Drosophila melanogaster: one gene and its partner. The protein of the gene in region 2 interacts with the protein of the main gene of each other region in a pairwise test. Each region holds a gene or a part of one and is shown on either strand. Other genes may lie near its edges.

Region 1 (3,136 bases), on a different chromosome or scaffold from region 2:
AGCACGACTTGGGCTTCGTGACCTTCGATCTGCAAACGAATCTCACAGGCATCTTCAACTGGAACGTGAAGCAGCTGTTCCTGTATCTCACCGCCGAGTACCAGACACCGGCCAATCAACTCAACCAGGTGGTACTGTGGGACAAGATTATCCTGCGCGGCGACAATGCCGTATTGGACTTCAAGAACATGAACACCAAGTACTACTTCTGGGACGACGGGAATGGCCTGAAGGACAACCGCAACGTATCGCTATACCTCTCGTGGAACATCATTCCGAACGCGGGACTCCTTCCCTCCGTTCAGGCCACTGGAAAGCACCTGTTCAAGTTCCCGGCCGACTATGCCACCTCGTCCATTTAGAGCTTAGGGCTAATGCTAAATACAGCTGGTTCCGCCCGGGTTCCCTAGCTTGTAGTGTCTATCTAATAAAACCCCAAATAAAATATCTTTGTAAAGATTTCGAACTGTATCCCAAACGAAAGAAACTTAAGAGAAATTCGTTGAAAATAATTTATTTTTGGTCCATTTTTATAATGACAATTTTATCTATAGCTTTCTATAGTAATTAACCAGCGAGTGACTGCAGAGCGCCAGCACTTAGTTTTCGGTCTTTCGTCTCAAATCTGGGTTTGGCAGTCGAACTAGGGTTCAACACTGCAGCTGAGGTGTTAAGGGATAGAGCTACAACCAAAATAGCAATAAAGAACTGTGCGAAAATTTTAAAAAATATTAGATTTTGGAACGCAGATATGATTAGTACCAACACACCAATTTTACTGAGGCCATGTTGATATCCGCTAAAGAAATCGAAAACTATACTAAAAATGTGTAAAAGATCTCCAATATATATATGACTGGTATTCAAGGCCGCATCGAATGGGTTCGTTTCAAAATTTAAAACTGAATCAAATTCGTTAACATTTTTTACAAGGCTTACGCAATGAAAAAGACTAATTGACCTTTGAAAATGTAATCCTTAAGACGAAGATGATGAACCCAACATATGAAAATACTTATTCGATCAATTCACAACTAATACGAAAAGGAAAGGATTTTGCATTCGGAAGATTATTTTTATTTCAAACTTCCTAAATAGAAGCATTCATTAGATTACTTATTTTACAGTCGGGGTTTTTTTTTTAATGTCTATTAATGCTGCAGCATCTGACATGCGATAACACAGTTGTCCTTGACCTAGTTGTAGAACATAAACATAATAGATGCACATCAAAAATGTTTATTTATAAGATCGGTTAAGTTTTAATATGGCAACGTATGACAGACATTCGTAATACAAACTTGCGTAAATGCATTCAGGAGTTCGCAGTTTTATGATTATTTATCTGATTACATATTTTAGCCTTGGTATGTTTTCCCACTGGGGACGTGCGAGCGTATCTTGTTTAAATATTCTTTGGTCTATATTTATAATAATTAAACAAAAAAAAAAAAAATATCTAATTATAAAACAATACTTTCTTCGATGACTATAAATTTGATATACCTAGAGTTCAAATAAATATTTTAAATATACTTTGAGATCATCTTGAGATACTTGTTTACTCTTTGTTTCTCGCCTTTTGGCGATGTTCGTCTAATACTTCCCGCAATCGCTTGACGAAATTAGCTTGATCTCTCGGAATAAAGCCCAGGAAGGCGTTCCTCGGGGACGAATACAGCAGCATGATAACCTTGCAGACGACCTCGGAGGAAAATCGGGCACAGCCACAACTGCCGGCGGACATTGATGATGCTAGCGAGTCGTGTTCTTCTCCAGGTGTCGATCGGAGAATTATAAGTTTCGAGTCCTTTATAAACGCTCCGGCGAACTGACCAAGATAAATTGAAGGCATCAAAACCATAGGCATATCAGTTGGCCAATCCTCCGCACTGATCCCGGGATCACCGTTTTTTATAGCTATGTACACGGAACACTCAAGCTTGTGACTAATGCTTGGCTCCTCTAAACTTGCTTGTGTCGACCAATTCAGCGATCCAGTCCATAGGAGTTCATTTATAATGGCATCTTCCTCCACAGGAGGCGGTTCTTCTGGCTGTGGCTGCTTGGGTGTTTTGACGCCCGGCTTTCGTTTTGCACCCTGAAGAATCTCCTGCAGTCGTTCGCTAAACGAATCCTCATTGTTGGGTATGAAGCCAACCAAAGCTTGATGATCGCGCGAGTAGATGAGAATTAGAGCCTTGATGTTGCAGTTGGGATTGGAGGGGAAGTGGATGCAACCAGCGAAACCAGAGCTCATCGCCGTGATCAATAAATTGAGTACCTCTCCTTGGCTGGATCGGAATACAACCATCCTGGCATCCTTTAGGAATTGTTCGCCAATTTTACCCAGCACTTTTTTGGGTATCAGTTGTGTTTTCAGCTTGTTTGGCCAGTTCTCCGTGTTGATCTCCGGCTGACCTTCTTTAACCATGGAGCAGATTTTGCATTGGACCGTGTGCAGAGTCTTCGGTTGATCCAATATCTGTGCATCCTCCCATTCGAGCTCTCCACTCCAAATTGTTTCCTTTGAGTCACCATTTTCAGGATTTTCCGGTTCTTTTTGCAAAAGCAACGCCCCAATCATATGTGTTAGACAATCGAGTTCCCCTTCGTCATCACCCACTCCTCGGGCTTCCTCTGGAACCGGCTCCATGCCCCTTTCAAGATGCAATCTAATTAAATATGGATTTTGTCGGATAGGCAACTTGTCGGTTAAAAATTTGTTTATCTGTGATATGCTTCTTCTTGCTTTTAGCGGTTTGTTATTGGTATCGCACTATCGGTTGGCTGGTTGGTCGATTGGCGGCCATCGAGATGCAACGCAATGCAACCCTGGCCAATCACTCTCACTTCTTCTTCTGCGTTTGTGTCAAAACAAAATTAAAACTAAAAACTCGCTAAAACCGTCTCGCAGCGCAATTATCTTTAGACTTCGTGTTATTTATGTGTTTGAATGTTAGCGTCGGCACCCCGCATCCCAGTGTTCATAACCCCATGTGTGCCACCTTGGTTTAAATGCTACCAATCTCCTGGCAGAGTAGCGCGTCTGAGCGAATAAAAAAACTGAACATGTTTCGCTCCAAGCACTTGTGATTGACCAAATCTCATCTAAAGCCCTGCCATGCTGCAGTAC
Region 2 (3,992 bases):
TGGGCATCACCCCGTGAGTTCTAACTACACTTTATGATTATATACACTTGGATTCCCTAAGCACTTCACTTTGAGAACTTTAAGAATATATATTCATCTACCAGTTCTAATCCCTATTTGTTCTAAATCCCCAGAGTGGATGCCAGCACCTTGGCTGTTCGCCTGGGCACCATTAACCAGTACGCCGGCGGCAGCATTGTGAATGTAAAGAGCGTGATCATCCATCCATCGTACGGAAACTTCCTGCACGACATCGCCATACTGGAGCTGGACGAGACCCTGGTCTTTAGCGATCGCATCCAAGACATCGCACTGCCCCCCACAACTGATGAGGAGACGGAAGATGTGGACGCTGAGCTGCCCAACGGAACTCCGGTCTATGTGGCTGGATGGGGTGAACTTTCGGATGGTACTGCATCCTATAAACAGCAGAAGGCCAACTACAATACGCTGAGCCGATCCCTGTGCGAATGGGAAGCCGGATACGGCTACGAATCCGTCGTCTGCCTCTCGAGAGCCGAGGGCGAGGGCATCTGTCGTGGGGATGCCGGTGCGGCTGTCATCGATGACGACAAGGTGCTTCGCGGTTTGACCAGCTTCAACTTCGGACCCTGCGGCAGCAAGTATCCGGATGTGGCCACCCGTGTCTCCTACTACCTAACCTGGATCGAGGCCAATACCCAGTAAAACTTTTGGTTCGCCATCCAAGGACTACCCTTTATTTTTTTATACATTTTTTTCATGTGCATAAAGTGTGTTACTCCCTCTACAAAAAAAAACGTTTTGTGTTTTTAACTTTATATGGATGCAAACTATATGGAATTTAGTGCTGGTCATAAAGCTACAATCGATAGAATAACATTTAATTGGCGCCGTTCAAAGGTTCTTTAATTACTAAGAAATTACCTTGAAACCTGTTTCTAATTTATGGGATGCCGTCAAGGATTATCTAACAAAATTGCCAAGTAAATGGTCACAACAATTGGCTATTATTGTTTATGGAGTCATATATATTAGAGAGTATGGCTATTTAACAGAACATTTAGATAGAGATCGAAGGAAATCGCCGTAATCAACCTGGGAACCAAACTTTTGTGCAGCTAGCTTGATCAATCGCCAATGACTGGGCTAAATCTTTATAATCCAGATTTGTTATCGCCAAGCTAAAGGGTAATTCCTACTAAATACGTTGATAATTTGCTTACATTCAAGGCAATTTTATAGAGTTTAATTAACACCAAAATGTTTAGACATTTTATTGAAAGAGCAACTCAAAAAATCCAAAGTTTTCCACGACTGATTTTAGATTATTCTGAGACCTGAAGCACCCTAATTTCCGTAGCTCCCCTGAGTCATGTGTTACTCATCATTATCTCCTATAGATGGTTGTAGTTGTACTGTCACTGGACACTGGTCGTTTGGTTTATTTGGACTTCCCTTCAACCGACTTGTGCAATTTTCTATTTATGTGCCAATTAATCGGTGAACTAACAAGTAACAATAGTCTATAGCGGCATAAAGCCATTGCCATAAGGCGATAAGATTAGATTTTCTCTGATGCCCAAGCCGAAGATAAGGATTGGTCAAGGAAGTGGTGGAGAACTTCGGGTAGAAGGTGGAGGAGGTGGTAGTTATATGGAGCTAGTCTCTTATATTCTCGTCGCTGGCATTGCGCATTTTCATTCCAACTGCCGTGGGTAGCAGAACCACCAAATAAAAAACCAAAAAAAAAATACAGGAACAAAATGATGCAGCCGAGACTAGTGATTTTGGGTCTGATCGGATTGACGGCGGTGGGCATGTGCCACGCCCAGGGACGCATCATGGGAGGGGAGGACGCGGACGCCACAGCCACGACCTTCACCGCCTCCTTGCGGGTGGACAATGCCCATGTGTGCGGCGGTAGCATTCTCTCCCAGACCAAAATCCTGACCACCGCCCACTGTGTGCATCGCGATGGAAAGCTGTGAGTACCAAAGTCAATCTACTAATTAATTAATTTTTACTACTAATTAATTGATTCATATTATTAATATTAAGTGCTCTTAAATAGTGGAAGTAGCAAATATGTAGTTTGGTTTGTACAACTAGGCGAATGAGTGATATTTGAAGATGGCCTATGCCTCGAATAACCATGTATTCCCTTTTTGTTTAAACCATTATATACAATACATTCAATACAAAAGTCTTGATAAAGTAATCTAGATTATTCTCACGAAATCCCCAACAGAATCGATGCCAGTCGCCTGGCGTGCCGCGTGGGCAGTACCAACCAGTATGCTGGTGGCAAGATTGTCAACGTGGAATCGGTTGCAGTGCATCCGGACTACTATAATCTGAACAACAACCTGGCCGTGATCACGCTGAGCTCTGAGCTGACCTACACCGATCGGATCACTGCCATCCCGCTGGTCGCCAGCGGAGAGGCACTGCCCGCCGAGGGATCGGAGGTGATCGTGGCCGGCTGGGGACGCACCAGCGACGGCACCAACTCCTACAAGATCCGTCAGATATCGCTAAAGGTGGCCCCGGAGGCGACCTGCCTGGATGCGTACAGCGATCACGACGAGCAGAGCTTCTGCCTCGCCCACGAGCTGAAGGAGGGCACCTGCCACGGAGACGGAGGCGGTGGTGCCATCTATGGCAACACGTTGATCGGGCTGACCAACTTTGTGGTGGGCGCCTGTGGCTCCCGCTATCCGGATGTCTTTGTCCGACTCTCCAGCTACGCGGATTGGATCCAGGAGCAGATCGCCTAGATCCGTTTCATCCCGTTTTTCCTTCACAAGCTAACAAAATAGAAACTATTTTCCCAAACTCAAAGCGGGCAAAATGACTCAATAGTTTGATTTTGATAAGGATAAGGATCGGTGATTGCCACTGGACTTGTGGTTAACGTAATAATCGCTAACTAAGCATGCTTATTTATTGTATTTATGACCTCAATGGCATGGCTTTTATAGCCCAGAACTCGAGTCATCGATAAAGCATTCCGGTTTTAGGGTCAATTTAGGCAAGCTTTACGTAATTTGGGCCTACAATTAGTTATATAAGGAAACTTGAAGACTTTTCAAAATCCAAAACCAAACCTTTTTTTTAAATGCCTTCTTTTGCTGTTCGAAACTGAAGAGATCTGCACTTTAAGATCTAATAATTATAATAAATGTGCAATAATTATGCAATAGGAAACTTTCGGCAAATTTCGTTTAAACATTTTCGTGCTTCCTTAACCCTTTTCGTCCAACTTTGACCTCCAAACTCTTACCACCGTGCGTTGCACACCCCTTGTAATTAGAGGGGCTTCATTTGCGAACGAAATGGGGTAACTAAACTAAATTAGGCAGCAGCTCGATAGCGACATTGACTTTGACATTTTAAGGAACTAATGATGATGAGCGTCTTAGATTTGGGTAGTATATATGCATACATATACATATATATATATATACATCCAGTGAAACTTGCAGTGAGCACTGCTTTTCAGTTAGCTAAGCCCAACCAGTCATGTTACCATTCTGGACATCTCTACTCGTCCTTTGCGCAGCCGGAGTCCTGGCACAAAACGATTCCGTAGTGGAGCCCCGCATTGTGGGCGGCACCAAGGCGAGGGAGGGTCAGTTTCCTCACCAGATCTCACTACGTCGACGTGGAAGCCACACTTGTGGTGGCTCCATAATCTCCAAGGACTACGTTGTCACCGCCGCCCATTGCGTTAAGCAAGGCAACAATGTGTAGGTATTGAATCTTCGGGATTTCGCGTTTCTCAATCAGAGTGCTTGCCCTTAGAGCTCCAGCTAATGAGCTGGAGATTCAGGCGGGCAGCCTGCTCCTTTCCAGCGGAGGAGTTCGCGTTCCAGTGGCCACCGTCACCGTGCATCCCAATTACAACTCCAATGGCCACGATGTCGCCGTGCTGCGACTTCGCAACTCGCTGACCTTTAACTCCAACATAGCCGCCATCAAGCTGGCCACCGAAGATCCGCCCAACGATG

What was found.
Region 1: the proteins of sphe (region 2) and Acp95EF interact in a two-hybrid assay, tested with the Drosophila melanogaster proteins (one large-scale study listed by BioGRID).

The regions. Positions count from the first base shown.
Region 1 is NT_033777.3:24,226,644-24,229,779, reverse strand, and holds Acp95EF (accessory gland protein 95EF), read right to left. Parts: upstream 806-3,136; 5' UTR 789-805; coding exon 771-788; exon of another isoform or gene 709-770; coding exon 568-708; 3' UTR 501-567; downstream 1-500. Other genes in the region: Spase22-23 (spase 22/23-subunit), read left to right, coding at 1-362; CG13609 (uncharacterized protein), read right to left, coding at 1,562-2,656; Spps (Sp1-like factor for pairing sensitive-silencing), read left to right, coding at 3,125-3,136.
Region 2 is NC_004354.4:16,699,651-16,703,642, reverse strand, and holds sphe (spheroide), read left to right. Parts: upstream 1-1,670; 5' UTR 1,671-1,745; coding exon 1,746-1,966; intron 1,967-2,230; coding exon 2,231-2,759; 3' UTR 2,760-3,197; downstream 3,198-3,992. Other genes in the region: CG9673 (uncharacterized protein), read left to right, coding at 1-13, 135-687; CG9676 (uncharacterized protein), read left to right, coding at 3,505-3,731, 3,787-3,992.